Linked DNA regions of Sus scrofa. The protein of the gene in region 1 binds, or shares a complex with, the protein of each later gene. Links are inferred from orthologs where the notes say so. Each region holds a gene or a part of one and is shown on either strand. Other genes may lie near its edges. The genes, in order: PPARG, NFKBIB, CREBBP and NRIP1.

Evidence for each region.
Region 2: the proteins of PPARG (region 1) and NFKBIB are in contact, whole or in part, in a crystal structure (PDB 9CK0), measured with the Homo sapiens proteins. The link is inferred for Sus scrofa from reciprocal best matches to the Homo sapiens genes PPARG and NFKBIB. Residues at the interface, in NP_056953.2 of Homo sapiens: Gln322, Thr325, Lys329, Phe334, Leu339, Gln342, Val343, Leu346, Lys347, Leu496, Glu499, Ile500; in NP_002494.2 of Homo sapiens: Asn286, Pro287, Ile288, Leu289, Ala290, Leu292, Leu293, Arg294, Ala295.
Region 3: the proteins of PPARG (region 1) and CREBBP are in contact, whole or in part, in a crystal structure (PDB 7RLE), measured with the Homo sapiens proteins. The link is inferred for Sus scrofa from reciprocal best matches to the Homo sapiens genes PPARG and CREBBP. Residues at the interface, in NP_056953.2 of Homo sapiens: Val321, Gln322, Thr325, Glu326, Lys329, Phe334, Val335, Leu339, Asn340, Gln342, Val343, Thr344, Leu346, Lys347, Leu496, Glu499, Ile500, Lys502; in NP_004371.2 of Homo sapiens: Asp62, Ala63, Ala64, Lys66, His67, Lys68, Gln69, Leu70, Ser71, Leu73, Leu74, Arg75.
Region 4: the proteins of PPARG (region 1) and NRIP1 are in contact, whole or in part, in a crystal structure (PDB 9CWN), measured with the Homo sapiens proteins. The link is inferred for Sus scrofa from reciprocal best matches to the Homo sapiens genes PPARG and NRIP1. Residues at the interface, in NP_056953.2 of Homo sapiens: Val321, Gln322, Thr325, Lys329, Phe334, Leu339, Gln342, Val343, Leu346, Lys347, Pro495, Leu496, Glu499, Ile500, Lys502; in NP_001426204.1 of Homo sapiens: Ser130, Thr131, Leu132, Leu133, Ala134, Leu136, Leu137, Ser139.

Annotation. Positions count from the first base shown.
Region 1 is NC_010455.5:68,431,998-68,435,190, reverse strand, and holds the end of PPARG (peroxisome proliferator-activated receptor gamma), read right to left. Parts: intron 1,701-3,193; coding exon 1,453-1,700; 3' UTR 1,244-1,452; downstream 1-1,243. UniProt on the Homo sapiens protein: Nuclear receptor that binds peroxisome proliferators such as hypolipidemic drugs and fatty acids.
Region 2 is NC_010448.4:47,701,654-47,706,810, forward strand, and holds the start of NFKBIB (NF-kappa-B inhibitor beta), read left to right. Parts: upstream 1-1,990; 5' UTR 1,991-2,087; coding exon 2,088-2,266; intron 2,267-5,157. Other genes in the region: SIRT2 (NAD-dependent protein deacetylase sirtuin-2), read right to left, coding at 740-786, 1,632-1,647. UniProt on the Homo sapiens protein: Inhibits NF-kappa-B by complexing with and trapping it in the cytoplasm.
Region 3 is NC_010445.4:38,386,902-38,391,840, reverse strand, and holds the start of CREBBP (CREB-binding protein), read right to left. Parts: upstream 3,476-4,939; 5' UTR 3,274-3,475; coding exon 3,189-3,273; intron 1-3,188. UniProt on the Homo sapiens protein: Acetylates histones, giving a specific tag for transcriptional activation. Mediates acetylation of histone H3 at 'Lys-18' and 'Lys-27' (H3K18ac and H3K27ac, respectively).
Region 4 is NC_010455.5:179,828,763-179,833,231, reverse strand, and holds part of NRIP1 (nuclear receptor-interacting protein 1), read left to right. Parts: intron 1-2,042; 5' UTR 2,043-2,354; coding exon 2,355-4,469. UniProt on the Homo sapiens protein: Modulates transcriptional activation by steroid receptors such as NR3C1, NR3C2 and ESR1. Also modulates transcriptional repression by nuclear hormone receptors.

The DNA.
Region 1 (3,193 bases):
ACACACTTCTGTAAACTGAGATCTGTTTATCTGGGGGTAAAGGACGAAAAGGTCTTTCTTGATATTTTGGCTTGAAAACCTCAAATGTAAGGTTATGTCCTTCTCAGTACCAAAGCCACGAGGAGAGAGAAAATGCAGGGAGAAGCGGAAGGGAGATCATTTAGGTTGGTGGAAACAAGCAAGTGAGACCTCAGCATGGTTTGCTTACGAGGACTTCCTGGAAGTTGCCATGTGTGTTCATGGATAAGCAATGCTAATGAACTTTGTGGCATCAAGCAACAAATCTATTAATTGTGCCAAGAAGATTCCTGCTTTGAGGGACCATGTCATCTAGTTGCTGGGGAGGCTGGCCTCCCCTAAACGGATAATTAGGCTTTGAGATTGGAAAAGTCAGAGCTTCCTGGGCAAAGTGGTCCCAAGAAGGAAGGCAGGAAGATGTACAGCAAAACTGCTTGAGACCAGAACATGGCCCTTCTCCCTCACTCATGTTTTGCTTTGCTTTTGTTTCCTTTTGCTATTGTTTCTGTGGTTTTGCTTTCCTAGAATGTCTTCTCTCCAACTCTCTACCTATCTCAAGTAAAACGCATCCTTTGAGGCCCACTTGAATGAATTTATGATCACTCAAGACTTTTCCAATCTTCTTAATCTTTACTTTGAACTCAGAGCACTTGGAGTCTGAACCATACATTTGGCACAGGATTATACTGTACATATTAATCTGTTTGTGAGAAAAATTAATCTTTTTTTCCCCCCTCAATTCAATAATAAGTTCTTTTTGGCAGGTGCCACATCTTATACCACTTGTGTTACAGCATCTAGCAGTTAATACCCTCCAGTGGGTATCTGTCTGTGCCTTGGTGTCCTGTTAGAGGGCTGCTGTTGGTGAGTGAAAATCTTGATTGGGGCTGGGGAAGAAGACTGAATTCTTGGTAAGCCTAGGGACATGGTCAACATTAGTCCATCCAGGTTAAGAAACACATGCTCTGAGTAGTTTTCAGTCCTGAAATTCCTCGCTTAGTTGTGATTTTTAAAACAGTTACAAGGTTCAGAAACATTGTAAATGGAGTAAAAAACTTGACTGAAAATGGAAATTGATCAGCAATCCCATTCACATTGTTTCACACTGTAAGAAAGAAAAAAGGAAAAATAAAGGAAGGAAGAGGGAGGAGATAAAAGGAAAAAAATACCTGGGGAGTGGTGATGGGAGACACAACAGACTCAGTCTTCAAAGACATCCAGCAAGTTCATGATGTGGTAATTTTTAATATTAAAAGTAAATTGTAAATGTATCTTTATAAACAATATGCATAAAATAGATCTATTATTCTAAAACCTTTTCTTTTTCAAACGCTTTTTCACAGTAATTTTTTTTAGGTGTCAGATTTTTTTTCCCCCAAAATAATAGTGCAATTGGAAGAAGGAGAATGTTGTCGGTGAACGTGGACTTCTTTGCTAGTACAAGTCCTTGTATATTTCCTGTAGGAGTGGGTGAAGGCTCATGTCCGTCTCTGTCTTCTTTATTACTTGCAGCAGCTGCACGTGCTCTGTCACAATCTGTCTGAGGTCTGTCATTTTCTGGAGCAGCTTAGCAAAGAGCTGGGAGGACTCTGGGTGGTTCAACTTGAGCTGCAGCTCCAAGGCTTGCAGCAAATTGTCTTGAATGTCCTCGATGGGCTTCACATTCAGCAAACCTGGGCGGTCTGGGGGAGCAGAAATGGAAGACAGAACAGGAGGTTTAGGTATAAAATTCTCTGGCCAATGACTTTTTGTTGGTTTTGTTTTGGTTCTAAAATAGGATGGGGGCAGGGGAGGTAAGCAGAGAGTTGGCAAGAACTGCATATAAGAAAAAAGGAATAAAACCCAAGACTATCAGAGCTTTTTCCAAGACCATTCTTTTCCCGTAGGACTAAATCTGTGTGACCAGATGACAGAACGTGGTGGCATGGCAATCACTTCCCAGATTGCAGATTCTTCTGCTGGCATTATTTCTACTCACTCAGAAATCTCATTTTTAACTTCTGCTCCTTCCTGATGAGTCTATGTTTTATAATCTTATTTTCTTACCACAACTTTCAACACACTTTCATTTTTTTTATAATGATTTTAATTTTTTCAATTCTAGCTGGTTTACAGTGTTGTGTCAATTTTCTACTGTACAGCAAGGTGACCTAGTCACACATACACATATACATTCTTTTTTCTCACATTATCATGCTCCATCGTAAGTGACTAGATAGAGTTCCCAGTGCTAAACAGCAGGATCAACACACTTTTAAAATAAACTTTGTCTTCTTTTTGCTTAACATAGCATATGCATTTTTCAAAGAGATGAGACATAGTTTTCAAATTCTGTTATACTTTTGGAAGGATAGACCAAGTTTTAACAGAGGCTTCTCTTTCGACAGGTGAGGATGCAGGTAGATTTCACTTTCTTCTTTATACTTTCCTTATTTGAACTTTTAAATGGTGAGCTTAGATTACTTTTAAATTTTTAATGTTTTTTCTTCATGGAGGTCTTTTTAGATTTCTTCTTAAATACTTTCCAGTATTCTTTATTTTTACTTGTTTCCTTTCTAGTATTCTATACTTCTTTTTCATTACATTTTCTAATGTATCCCTGCTGATGTTTAGAAAAAAGTTAGGTTTTATTATACTGAATCTATTCCAATTTCCTAAACTCTTCTCAAATCAAACAGTTTGTATCATGGGTTAAAAAAATTATTTTTTGGATAGACAATTATATCTGCAAATAATCATATTTTTATTATTTGTTTTGTTCATAAGTTTTATTTATTTCTTTTTTTCTAGTGTTTATAGTTCTCATTTCTTTTTTTTGCCATACTGCATTGGCTAATAATGCTAATACGGTAAATAGTAGCAGTACTGGGAAGCATTCTTATTTTATTCCTAAGCTTGAAGGAAATGCTTCTAATGGTTTACCACAAGTATGGTATTTACTAGAGTATGGTGGATATGTTTTTCTCCAGATTCTCCCAGAGTTTTAAAGGTTTTAATTTTAGTTAGGAATGTTGTTGCATTTCATCAAATGCTTTCAAGTTTTTCTACCTAAAATGTTGACCATATAGTTTTATCTTAAGCTAGTGTAGTGAATTATATTAATAGATTTTCTTATACCCTTGCATTCATTTGCTATATATTTTATTTAGGGTTTTTAAAATTGGGATAGTGGTCC
Region 2 (5,157 bases), on another chromosome or scaffold:
CTATTGAAAAACTCTGTTTCAAATCCCTCATGTGTAAAATGGACACAGTAGGCCTTGCCCCCCACAGGGATGCTGGGAAGATGAGACGCTGCACATAGAGCACGAGACAGAGTACCTGCTGGAGTAAGTACTCAGGAAATGCCAACCATGGGAATAATTAGCGGAGCACCCCAGCCACCTGACCTCTGAGCGCATCTCACTCTCCCGCCTCCCCGTGTTTGCACAAGCCGTACCCTCCGCGTGGGACCCCAATTCGCACCTCACCTAAGAAAATTCTAAGTCACTCTACACTCACTACTGCGAGTCTGTACCTCAACCTGACTCCTAGATCAGCCTGTGGGATTCCTCCAGGGAAAGGACTGGCTGGAATCTGTGGGACTCCACGAAGTTTACTCTGGGCTCCCAAGGTGCCCTGAGCTGCTTTCCTTGTCACCCTACACTTGGCTCTGAGATCTCTTCCATGCGCAGTGCAAAAGAGGTTCAGAAGGGATGGGGTGGGGGGTGGCAAGGAGAGAGGAAGGTTTGGAAGGGCAGGCCGGGGGCTGAGGCTGCACGCCCTCCTCTGACAGTCCCCAGAATCCACCATTCCCCGGGAGGCTGAACCAGGAGGTGGGGGGAGGGACTGGGGCAGGGAGCTCAGGGCCCTGGGGTTCCCATCTCCCCTCTGCCACCTCCCTCCCAGGATGGGGTGTGGGAAGTCCATCTCTCTCCTTCCCGCCACCCTTCCGCCCCATCTCACCTGAGCCTCTTGCACCTTCCCTGTCTGGGTCTCCACAGGGTCTGAGGCTGGGGGGAGGAGGGGGAGCAGACGTGGTTAAGGTGAAGGGAGTGGTTAAGGGGGAAGGAAGGGCTTCAAATTAGTGGGGCAGAGGGATCAAGAAAACTCACCAACCTGGTCATACCGGGTGGGGTGGGGGTGTAAAATGGAAGTGGAGGAGGGCGGCAATGGGGAAAAGCGGACCTTATCAGTGTGCAGACGGCTGGGAGGAGAGGTTAGCGAGGGACAAAGAGGCCGGGACAGGAAGGTTTAGGCGAGGGAAGAGAAAGTAAAGCACGCCCGGCATGGAGGAAGACTTAGGAGGAGTTAGGAAGGGTGTAGTAGTGTGAGAGTGTGTGTCATTAGGTTTACAAGCAGTGGGAAGCCATAGAAAGGAGAGAAGACATACTCTGCCTGTTGGCAGGTTTGGGAGAAGAGGTGCAGAGTGTGTGTGTGTGTGTGGTGTGTGTGTGTGTGTGTGTCGGGCAGGGTGGGGTTGGTTTCGGAGAAAAAGGAAGCAATAGGAGGGGACCCTGGCATCCTACAGTTGCTACTAACAACCAGGTACCCTTAGCAACCAGGACCGCGGCATCTTAAGTCCCTAGCAACGAGGGTCCTTGGCAACTAAGGTGCGAGAAACATGTGATCATTAGTAACTTGGGGGAAGTGGCAAACGGACCCTTAAAACCTAGCGACCCAGAAAGCCACCAATCTAGCAATATGGATCACTTGGCAACTGCCCCCGGAATCCCATTTTCCCCCCCATGCAACCCCCATCTCCTGCCCCACCAAGCCTGCCCTCGGGCCCCGGGGCCTACGACCCTCAGCTAGGCCCCGGTGCAGCCCTGCCCTCCCACCGGGGTCCCCGACTCACGATCCGGCTCGGCCATGGGCGCGGGGCGGGGGCCCTCGGGACTGTCACCGACTGCTCTGTCCCGTGACGGCACCGGAAACAGGAGGGGGCCGAGACAAGGCAGAGAACTACAACTCCCAGCAGCCATCGCGATCGCATATAATGCTCTGCACCGCGTACGGAGCGCGCCCCCACGCAAAGGCCGGACTACGAGTCCCAGAGGGCTCCACGTCCACAGCCATGCTGGTAAAGGACTCCGGGAAAGTGTGGGAAAAGGTAGAACGCCGTAGTCCACCTGAGTGCTCTGATTGGTCATCATGTGGCATGGGGGCGGGGCGTGTACTACTTAGCCCACCCTGATTGGATGAGTCAGGGGGGCGTGTTGGGGAATTCCCCGCAGGGCGGAAGCTCGAGAATTCCAGGCAGAGCCCAGCGACAGGCGGGCTGCCGCTGGGGGCCCCTGAGGCTTCGGGGGCCATGGCTGGGGTTGCGTGCTTGGGGAAAGCTGCGGACACCGATGAATGGTGCGACAGCGGCTTGGGCTCTCTGGGTCCGGACGCAGCGGCCCCCGGAGGACCAGGCCTAGGCGCGGAGCTGGGTCCGGGACTATCGTGGGCGCCCCTCGTCTTCGGCTACGTCACTGAGGATGGCGACACGTGAGTGAACCTTAGACTGACAAATCGGGCCCCAGGGTCCCACATCTCCAATCCTGACTTCCCAACCTTTCAATCCTAAATCTGTCTTTTGATGCTTGACTTCCTGACCCCAAGACTGGCCTCTGATAAAACCAACTTCTTATCTAATTTTGATCCTAACCCAATAATGTCTGGCCTTCCTTTCTTGAACTGATTCTCAGAGTTATGCGTTCATTGATCAGACCCACATTCAGTGATCGATTCCACATCCAAAACTCGATTTGACCTTCCTGACCCCAGTCCTTAGCCCTCTGTTAGAACTGTAGTTCAGACAGGCTCCTCCTGACCTTTATCCTCCAAATATGATCTTTGGTCCTCAGCGCCTAACTTACATGAGCCTTAGATTTTATTTCGAAATTAATACTTGGCTTTTGACTCCAGGATCCCACCTTCTGAACTCTGATCTTCAAAGCTTACATTCAAAGAGAAAATGGAAACTACATAACAGCAGGAATTCATCTATTAAACAAATAATCCAACACCTTCGACTTTCCAGGAACTGTTTTAGGTGTGGCCTAAAGGCAGGGAGGAAAGCCCAAAAAACATTTGTCTTGTGGAGCATACATTCTAGTGGGGGTATATAGACAGAAGGGCAGATAGACTGACAGGGAGGGAGGAAGGGTAGGAGGAAGAAAAAGGAAAGAAAAGGAGAGAGAAGGAAAGAGAAAAAAAGATACACAGACCTAAAGTAAGAAAGGGAGAGAAAGAAGAAAGGCAGGAAGAAACGAAGACAAAAATTAAAAAAAAAAAGAAAAATAGCATGTCAGACGTTAAGAAGTTCTTTGGAGAAAAATAAAGCAGGGAAGTGAGACAAGTAGATTATCTGGGGAGAACATTGCACATAGAGGGAAAAACAGTTGTAAAGGCCCAATTGAGGGAATGTACCTGGGGTTTTTGAGTATCGTGTTTACCGCTGTATCCCCAGTGACCCAGCAGCCCCTGACCCATAGGAGGCACTCAGGAAACAGTGATCTTCTCAAACAACCAGCTGTGGTTTCATTTATTTTCTCTTTTTCTCTCTTTTTGCTTTCTATTTTGTTGATCTCTGTTCTGACTTATTTACTTTCTTCTCTTATTTGGGGTTTAATTTCTTCTTTTTCTCGTTTTTTAAGATGGAAGCTGAGGTCATTGATTTGAGACTCTTTTTTTTTTTTTTTTTTACGCATATAAGTGATTCATGCTGTAAATTTCCCGGAGTAGTGCTTTAGCAGTATCTCACCAATTCTGATGTGCTGTGTCGTTTTTTGTCATTTTGTTTTGTTTTGCTTTTAAGGCCTACCTGCGACATACGGAAGTTCCCAGGCTGGGGTCAAATCGAAGATGCAGCTGCCGGCCTACACCGCAGCCACCGCAATGTGGGATCTGAGCCCTATGTGCGACTTAGACCACAGCTTATGGCAGTGCCAGATCTTTAACCCAGTGATCCGGGCCAGGGATTGACCACATCCTCATGGATACTGGTTGTGTTCGTTAACCACTGAGTCACAACAGGAATTCCATGATGTGTAGTGTTTTTATTTAATGCAATATACTTTCTAATTTCTTTTTTGATTTCTTCTTTGGTCATCGGATTCTTCAGAAGTATGTTATTCAGTTTCCATATCACAGGCATCTTTCTTTCATTGGCTTTTAGTTTAATTCTGTTGGGGATGGAGAGCCTAGCATGACTTGAATCCTTTCAGACTTTTTGAGACTTGTTTTAGGGCCAAGAATATAATGTGTGCATTTGAAAGAATGTGTATTCTGCTCTGGTTGGGTGTAGTGTTCTCCGAGTGTCAGTGTTTCCCTGGTTCTTTTGTTGCTCAAGTCTAGATTTCTACTTGTTCTGTCAATTATTGAGAGCCGGGTATTGAAATCTTCAACAATAATTGTGGATTCGTGGCTTTCCTTGTTGTGCTATCAGATTTTGCTTTGTGTAATTTGATGCTCTATTATTAGGGGCACAAATATTTAGGATTATTAAGTCCTCTTGTTTCACTGACCTCTTTGTCGTTATGAAATAACCTTCTCTAGCCCTGGTAATGCTTCTTGCTCTGAAATCTACTCTGATATTAAAATACTTACTTCTGTTTTCTTTTGAATGACTGGTGTTACCATGGAATATCTTTTTATACCCTTTAATTTTAACCTATTTTAAAATTTATATTTCAAGAGTGTTACAGGCAGCATATAGTGGGTTTTGCTTTTTTTTTTTTTTTTTTGGCTGTGCCTGTGGAAGTTCCCGAGCCAGCAACTCAACTCGAGCCACAGCAGTGTGGCACAATGACAGTGCTGGATCCTGAATCTGCTGCACCACAAGAGAACTCGAGGTTTACTTTTTTATTCATTCTGACAGTTTCTGTCTTTTAATTGCAGTGTTTAGACTGTTTGCATTTAACTTAATTATTGAAATGGTTATGTTTATCTTGTTTTTAGCTTTTTTGCTTATCTCTTTTACCTTTTTCCTCTTTTTCTGCCTTTTAGAATGAGCAAATTTTGTTCCATTGTGTTTCTTTTGTTGGCTTATTAGCTCTAACTCTTTGTTTTTTATTTTCGTGGTTGCTCTGAAAGACCAATAGTTGGCAAACTGGTTTCCAGACAAAGTCCAGCCAGCTACCTGCTTTTGCATGGCTGTGAGCTAAGAATAGTTTTTACATTTTCAAATGGTTAGAAAAAAATCAAAAGAAGAAAAGCATTTCGTGGCAAGTGAAAATTATATGAAATTCAAATTTCAGACTCCATAAAGTAAGCTGTTGGAATCCAGCCATACCCATTTATTTATACATCACCAGTGGATGCTTCTGCATCCTGACAGCTGAGCTAAGTGAGTAAAAGAGAGACCATATCGTCCACTAGGCCTGAATTACTTCTCT
Region 3 (4,939 bases), on another chromosome or scaffold:
TTTGTGCGAAAGTGTTTACGCCTTCGATGTAAAGCAAGAAAACACTACTTCAACAACATCTGATACCATCAGGATCTGTGCCACTTCAGAAGAAAAGCTGGGGTTGGGTGAAACGCACCGTTTTCCCTTCTTCCTCTTGCTGCCTGCCTCCGGGGTGCATCCCTATTTCTGCATCACCTCTGCACGCTCTCCTCAGAAGGCTTCCCTGACCTCCCAGCCTGCAGGGACCTCTGGCATCTGCCATTGGTGTCAATGTCATGTATCAGACACGCCTTACTTCACTGGAGCAAACGCACATCCATGCTCCCGTTAGACCGCAAGCGCCCTGCAGCCAGCACCCTGTCTGGTAAGCTCCCCAGCATCAAGTGTAACTATTCCCTGGGCCCACGGCCTGCCCCCAGACCCCAAAGACATGCCCTGGACAGTGACAGTCCAAGTCACCCCAGCTTCTCAGGCCATCAGAGCCTCCTTCTACTCCTAACGCCTCAGCTCTTCCCAGCCACAGAGCTCTCCTCCCTCAAATTTCATCACATGAGCAACGAATAGGCATGGCTCTGCCCGGTCCAATTCTTTTTTTTTTTTTTTCTTTTTGCTATTTCTTTGGGCCACTTCTGCGGCATATGGAGGTTCCCAGGCTAGGGGTCTAATTGGAGCTGCAGCCGCCGGCCTACACCAGAGCCAGAGCAACTCGGGATCCGAGCCGCGTCTGCGACCTACACCACAGCTCACGGCAATGCCGGATCGTCAACCTACTGAGCAAGGGCAGGGACCGAATCCGCAACCTCATGGTTCCTAGTTGGATTCGTTAACCACTGCGCCACGACGGGAACTCCTGCCCGGTCCAATTCTATCCTAGAAGCCACAAACCCATATCTCCTCATTTAAATGAGGCTGAGTCTCTCGAGAATGTTATTCTCAGGTCTCTCCCCATGTTTCCATTTAACAAAATGCCTTCGATCCTTTGACTGCGTGTAATCTAATCCCTTTAGTCCTTGCTTTGCCTTGACAGACATCCTTAAGCCCTGCTTCAGACCAGCAGTTACGGGAGACAAGGCTGTACCTTGCTTCATGTGCTCAGTGAGGGCCCTTCCAAGGCCCTGACACTAAGAGACCCTCTCACAGGGACATGATGGTGCCGAACGCGCCACCAAGGACCCGACACACATATAAAGGTGAATTTATTCTTTGGATTATTTAAACAGAGCTGTTAAAACTGACTTTTTTGTTCCACATTTGGAAAAGCAAAAGAGCTCCAGTGCCTCAAAAGGATCAAAATTAGAAAGGGAAAAAAGTGGTCAAAATCCACCCTTTCTGATAAATTTTACTGTGATCAGCCACACATTAAGTAGATATCTGACCATCCAATAACAGAAGTGCCCCAAGAGCCAGTCCTTTGGGTGCCATCTTGAAAAGAGGTACAAGTTTACAGTGGGACAAGCCTTTCTGCTACGTCTCACGTAACTCCCTTGTCCCTCTGTATAAAAAGCAAAGTCTAAAATAACCTCAATCAACAACAGCAAAGCTGCAAAGCCATTCAAAAGTTACGTTTCAGAGGACAAGCTTCAAAGCAAACTTGTCCAGTATGATCTATATTTCATATGATTAAAGATTTTTCACTCAAACATGCCAAGATTAATGGAGCCAAGATGAGCTATTCTGCAGTAAAATCAGAGTTTTTTAAATGCAGTAAAATCAGAGCATTGAAATCATGGTTGTTCTCACATTTCTCATTTCAGATAAGCTGATTTTACAAAATTAACATCAAACACAACACTTCATCAGTTTTTTTTTTTTAAAGAAGAGTATTATTGGTGACTTTTATACACCATGAGACTTAACTGACTCTTCTCCAACTGTTTCAACAAATTTCATTTCAACTAGACAAGAATCTCATGATTTTTTTTTTACACTTTCTCTCAATTCTACATTAAAAAATAGTCTAGGAATTGTAGTAAAACTGCAGCCACAAAACTCAAGTTTTGTTCCAACAATAGCAATAGATTTTTAGACCACTAGCAGAAAAACGCTAGTGGTCAGTCACAGAAATGTTTGCACAAGCTGAACAGCTGTGTCTACTGCAAATCTGAAGGCACTGCTGCAGCAATATAATTCAATTCTGACCCATTCATTATAAACTGATTTACAGATGCTGCTACTGCAAGATCACAGTGGAGAAATGCAAGCTGCGCTGGGGATCAAATCGTTCACCGAAGCGCACAAGTTTTTAACGCAAAGGAGAGCTCTGAAAGAGGAAATACAACTAGTTCATAACGCTACCATGAACCAGCCCAGAAGAACCTAAAACTATAAATGAATAGAAAACTAAAACACTTCCCTTAGGTAATTGATGTGATCACCTAAGAAAGTTTCCAGGGAAGATGTTTAAAACAGTGAATTTATTCAGTATCCTACCGAAAAAACTAGGGAGGAAGACTGTAATTCCCCCATTCCTTAACATATTTTTTCTTCTTACATCTTCACTGTAAAAGCAACACAAGCTCACTTGCAGATTGCAGCCCGGATCAATCTGCTATTTAACTTTCTTCCGAAGTTACAGTCTTGAAATTAAACACCCCACTTAGGACGTCTTCCGAAGTTTGGGGCTGTGAAAAATGGGATAGCTCAGGAGACCAACAACAAGAGTTTTCAAAGTAACTACTAAGCATTTTTCCCAAGCAGCACATTCCAAAAAACTTCTAAGTCGTAACTCAAGAGGCTGGCTGCAGCTCTGCGTGTCTTCTGGTTGCCTTGTGAATGTGCTACCAATTCAGAAAACATTTCGGGTCCCCTTTGGGCTGCACGCTTTCCTTCCCTCACTGGCAAACGCACCCTCCGCTGTCATCCCTTCAAACAGCCACGCGTGTGTCGACCCACGGCGGCAGAGGGTGGCAAAGGGACTCACCACGCAGAACAAACACGCTCCGCTTTACTTTTCCCCCCTGGAAGTACCACTCGGGCTCCACGCGAGGAGGGCTCGCCAACTCCGGGCTATGCGAGCGCACCGGGCATGTGCCGCCCCACTCGGGCCCCAGGCAGTCTTCCGACAAACTTCCCCCTCCGCGGCCGGGGTCCCGGGGAAAGGGCCCCGCACGCCCGCCCTCGAGTTCGGGTCCCCCGGGGGCACTCACCTCCGGGCAGGGCTGTCAGCGACCCCCGGGGCCCCTGTTCCCGCCCGGCCCCCTACTCACCTGTGCTGTCATTCGCAGAGAAGCCGGGCGAGCTGAGTTTGGCTCGTTTGGGGTTGGGCGGTCCGTCCAGCAAGTTCTCGGCCATTTTCACCTGCTCGCGAAAACAGCCCCGAGCGCGGGCGGCGGGGCCGGCGAGGGCTCCGGGGCGGGGGTCGGCGCCGGCCCCGGCCGGCTGCGAGGGGAGAGCGAGCGCGAGCCGCGAGTCGCGAGCGAGCGCCGAGGGAGAGGGAGGGCGCAGGGCCGGGTGGGGGAGGCGGCGGCCAAATCTCAGCCACAGCAACAGCGCCCCGCAGCGCTCACCGCCCGCCCCCGGCCGCCGCCGCCGCCGCCGCCGCCGGCCGCGGCCCCCTCATCCCCTGCCCGCCTCCCGAGCGCGACACTCCGCGGCGGGGGCGCCCCGGCGGCCCGGCGGCCCCCCGGGCCCGGCTGGCAGCGACGGCGCCCGGCCGGGCGGCTCAGGCAGTCCCCGGGAACATGGTGCCGCCGCCGCGCCGCCGCCTCGCTCCCCCCCCGCGCCCCACTTAATTAATTCGCTCGCGGCCCGACGACCGGGGGGCTCCGGGCTCCGCTCCCTGCCCGCGGCCCGCCGCCGCCGCCGCCGCCGCGAGGAAAAACAATGAGCGAAGCGGGGCCGCCGCCGCCGCCGCCGCCGCGGCCCCCCCACCCCCCGTTCCGCCGCCGCCGCCGCCGCCGCTGCCGCCGCCGCCGCCGCCGCCGCCGCGGCTCCGGGAGGCCGAGCCGAGAGGCGAGCGGGGCCGCCGGAGCGGGCGCCGAGGGCCAGGCGGAGCGGGCCGGCCGGGCGGAGCGGGGTGCGCGGGCGGTTGTGGGGCCCGGGACCGGCGGGGCCGAGTAGATCGCGCTCGAAGCCCCGGTCGGGTCCGCGACAAGATGGCGGCTGTTGATTCCTCAATTAAAAAAAAAAGAAAGTTTTTTTTCTTCTCTTTCCAGAGCCTGAACGGGGAGGGGGAGGGGGCGGGGCACGCCGGTGCGTCACCCCCCCCCGCGGCGTCACCACGCACGGCCCCCGCCCCGCCCCCTCCACCTGCGCCGGCCGCAGCGGAAAGAGCCGAGCGCGTTCGGACGGAAAGGGCCGAAGGCGCGGCTGCCGTACGTCGTGCGGCCGAGTGGCGGGGCGGCTAGACTGCCCGGCGGGGGCCGGGCCTGCGGGGCGCCGGGCGCCGGGCACCGCCGCCACTTTTGTTCTGACGGCGACTGGGCGGCGAGGGGTCTGGCTGCGGCCTGGCAGCAAGCCGGGCCCCCAGGCGCGGAGTTGGCGCCGCCCGGGCCTGCCCGTCCCGCAGGCGACTCTGCCCAGTCCCGGCTCCCCGCGCCCCTGCTCCGCGACCCTTCTCGGTGACCAGGGCTGGCAGCTTCTCCCCGCCGGATGCCAGCGTTGTGTCGTGGCCTCTGCAGGTTACAGACTGCTCTTGGGTCCGCCCGTGAGCGAGTGCAGATGGGGAAACTGAGGCAGGAAGTGGCAGGGCCGAGATTCGAAGGCCTCCACGTGAAGTGAGGAGGACGCAGGACTCCTGAGCCCTTGTTCCCCAGCCTGATGCAATAGGGGCCCCAGGTCCGACACCCTCACCTGCACCGGGAAGTGGTGAGCGCTGCTTCCCAGCCAAGCACACTCAGTCTGCGCCGGGCCCAGAAGGCCCCATTACATCAGGGCTTAGGGCCCTCGTGCCCTACGCAACCATCTGGACCCCGCAGGTGCTGCAGTCAGGTGTGAGGTTCCCCCGGAGGCCCGCCCG
Region 4 (4,469 bases), about 110 Mb from region 1:
AAGCAATGGTAACATTTTACATTATGCACTAATACCTGTAGGTTCCAGTGAGCTGTACCATATCCAAGTATTATGTCTCTTTTTCTTTTCTTTTTTTCCCCCCCTAAATCTCTCAGTTAAATTCTGTACTATAGAACTGAAAAAGCAAGAGAGATAGGAAGAATTGTTAGTGATTTCTCCCACATTAGTTGTTTAAGAAACAGTAAAGGAAGTTACCTGAGGAAATTTGGCACACCTAGTTCCCTGAAGAGTTTGTAATAGTAGAGTCTGAGTGAATTCCAGCCTTAAGTAGTCTCGGAATTTCTGCTTTCTGAGGTATTCCAATTTTCTGCTAGAATGGTGGTAGGTGTTGCCTACCTGCACCCCAGGGGAGTGCACCTAGAATAGCTTTTCAGTAACTACTATCTTTGAGTTACAGGTTGATCTTATTAAAAAATGAGTTTCGGAGTTCCCGTCATGGCTCAGTGGTTAACGAACCCGACGAGGAACCATGAGGTTTTGGGTTCGATCCCTGGCCTTGCTCAGTGGGTTGAGGATCCAGCATTGCCGTGAGCTGTGGTGTAGGTTGCAGATGAAGCTCGTAGCCCGAGTTGCTGTGGCTCTGGTGTAGGCCGGCACCTACAGCTCTGATTAGACCCCTAGCCTCAGAACCTCCATATGCTACAGGAGCAGCCCTAGAAAAGGCAAAAAGACAAAAAAAAAAAAAAAAAAAAAAAAGAGTTTCTATGAAAAGCTCTTTCTTGCCTCATATAATTGGTTTTGTTTATAGAATATTCTTTTCAAAGAGGTTAATGAGAAATAACCATTTGAACTTTGAATTTCTCTTCAAATCTCTTCTAAATTTGTTTCTTGCCAACTTTTCTACAGGATGATATGATGACTTAGTATGTGTGTGTGTGTATATATATATATATATGTATAGTTATAGGTTTTTTTAAGATTTTACTTCTATTATAGTTGATTTATAATGTTCTGTCAGTTTCTGCTATTATAGTTTTATGTGCTCTATACTAACCACATTTTCTAAACCAAAAATTAATGCAGTACCCAAAAACATTTTTTAAATAATGACTTTTATTTTTAAATCCTTTAAATTTTTTTCAAATCACATAATATTTTAATTTATCTGTAATTATTGATAACAAGGTCATACTCAAAGAAATAGCATGGGCAGGGGGAGGAGTATTTTATATTAGGAACATTCTAGAAACTTAGGATGGTAGGCTTATCTGTAACCTGTATTCTGCATCTGCTAGGAGTGCACCTTATTTTACAAGTTCTACATGGAGCACAGATGTAAGAATTTTAAGACAGACGCATTCAAACTTTGCTCGACCTAAATGGGTTTTGTTTTTAATAAGTCTCGGTAAGAACTATGGGTGAATAAGCCTGTGATTTTATGTAAATGTGTATTAACTAAGACTATCACAGTTTGCATGCCCCTTCAGAAGAATCTTACACTTGTTAGGGCTTCCAATTCTTTGAAAACAGAAATTCTCCAAATTCTTTTGGGGATGGCTGATGTTTAGAGGATGATGTCAGAAGCGTTGTGTCGGCCTCAACCTCACATCCAACTCATTAGATGAGTCCATGTCACATGGATCTCTTCTCCTTTTTCCTCTTGTTCCTTCATAAGCTCTGAGTAATGTAAGGAAGCTAGAACTAGCCCCTTGTACAGCTGCAGTGCTATAGGGAGACGACTTAGCATCACATCACTTTGCAGAAAGATGTTTATGAAAATTCAAAAACTTAATGGGCTTTGGAAGACAGTTGTATAACATTAAAGTATTTTCTCTGATTGGATCCTTTTCACGATATGAAATTAATTAATCCATAAGATTTCCAGTAGAGATTTCCAATTTAATAGGAATGGCAATAAAATAAATTACTGAAGAAGCATCTATAATGCATAAATATGTACATTGCATGTGGGTATATATACGCATATCAGCTTACAAGCGCTAGATTGTTTTGCTTTCACATATCAGAGTACAATTCTAATTCTTCACCTCCTTAACTATTTTTTTCTTTAATTTTTCTAGAACACTGATATTTGCATTTATTGGGGAACAAAAGATGAAGAAGAAGCAGTGTATTCACTAAGGATTCTGCTGCTGCTTCTTACTTGGGAGTTGATCAGCTCTATGGTCGGACTGCACTGGGGTCGGCCTGCCATTTATCTCGCCACTGCCAGCAGGAATCCTGGTCGGAATGTAACAGTACACCTCTGTCTAATTACTATGGAAGGTGATAAACTGACACTCACTTATTAACATTACATCTCATTCACCCAAAAAAAAAACCATTCTTCAAAGTGAATAGAAACCAAGCCCTTGTGAACACTTCTATTGAACATGACTCATGGAGAAGAGCTTGGCTCTGATGTGCACCAGGATTCTATTGTTTTAACTTACCTAGAAGGATTACTAATGCATCAGGCAGCAGAGGGATCAGGTACTGCCGTCGACAAAAAGTCTGCTGGGCGTAATGAAGAAGATCAGAACTTTAACATTTCCGGTAATGCATTTCCCACCTGTCAAAGTAATGGTCCAGTTCTCAATACACACACATATCAGGGATCTGGCATGCTGCATCTCAAAAAAGCCAGGCTATTGCAGTCTTCTGAGGACTGGAATGCAGCGAAGCGGAAGAGGCTGTCTGATTCCATCGTCAATTTAAACGTAAAGAAGGAGGCTTTGCTGGCTGGCATGGTTGACAATGTGCCTAAAGGCAAACAGGATAGCACATTACTGGCCTCTTTGCTTCAGTCATTCAGCTCTAGGCTGCAGACTGTTGCTCTGTCACAACAAATTAGGCAGAGCCTCAAGGAGCAAGGGTATGCCCTCAGTCATGATTCTTTAAAAGTGGAGAAAGATTTAAGGTGCTACGGTGTTGCGTCAAGTCACTTAAAAACATTGTTGAAGAAAAGTAAAGCTAAAGATCAAAAGCCTGATACAAATCTCCCTGACGTAACTAAAAACCTCATCAGAGAGAGGTTCGTAGAGTCACCTCATCATGTTGGACAAAGTGGAACAAAGGTCCTGAGTGAACCTTTGTCATGCGCTGCAAGATTACAAGCTGTTGCAAGCATGGTGGAAAAAAGGGCTAGTCCTGCCACTTCACCCAAACCCAGTGTTGCTTGTAGCCAATTAGCATTACTCCTTTCAAGCGAAGCCCATTTACAGCAGTATTCTCGAGAACATGCTTTAAAAACACAAAATGCAAATCAGGCAGCGAGTGAAAGACTTGCTGCTATGGCCAGATTACAGGAAAATGGCCAGAAGGATGTGGGCAGTTTCCAGGTCTCCAAAGGAGTGTCAGGCCATCTTAATGGCCAGGCAAGAACATCATCAAACAAATTAATGGCTAGCAAAAGTACAACATTTCAAAGTCCAATGGGTCTCGTTCCTTCTTCCCCCAAAAATGCAGGCTATAAGAATTCACTGGAAAGAAACAATATCAAACAAGCTGCTAATAATAGTTTGCTTTTACATCTTCTTAAAAGCCAGACCATACCTAAGCCAATGAACGGACACAGTCACAGTGAGAGAGGAAGCATTTTTGAGGAGAGCAGTACACCTACAACTATTGATGACTACTCAGATAACAATCCCAGTTTTACAGATGATAGCAGTGGTGATGAAAGCTCTTATTCCAACTGTGTGCCCATAGACTTGTCTTGCAAGCACCGAACCGAAAAGCCAGAACCTGACCAGCCTGTTTCTCTAGATAACTTAACTCAGTCCTTACTAAACACTTGGGATCCCAAAGTCCCCGAAGTAGATAACAAAGAAGATCAAGATACCTCAAAGAATTCTAGGCTAAATTCACACCAGAAAGTGACCCTTCTTCAGCTGCTCCTCGGCCATAAGAATGAAGAAAATGTAGAAAGAAACAACAGCCCTCAGGAAGTCCACAGTGATGTGACAAAGTTCAGCACACAGAACTATGCTCGGACCTCTGTCATTGAAAGCCCGGGTACCAACAGGACGACGCCAGTGAGCACTCCACCCCTACTTGCATCGGCCAAAGCCGAGTCTCCCATCAACCTTTCCCAGCATTCTTTGGTCATTAGATGGAATTCCCCACCGTATGCCTGTGGCCCTCCGTCTGAAAAGCCAACAAATGCCACCTCCAACCGCTTGATGGACCTTACAAAGAGCAAAGACTTGCAAGGAGAGAAACCAGTCCAAAACGAAGGTGCACAAAACTCTGCCACGTTCAGTGCCAGCAAGCTGTTAAAAAATTTAGCGCAGTGTGGCATGCAGTCTTCCATGTCAGGGGAAGAGCAGAGACCCAGTAAACAGCTGCTAAGCGTCAACACGGATAAACCTACAGGTGTGATGGAGAGACTCGGTAGCCCTCTGCTCGCAAATAAAACAAACCCAGCTGAAGAAAATAAAGCATTCGGCAGCCACTCAGCCGGCCCTGAGCCCGGACTTTCTGGTTCCGAAATAGAAAATCTGCTT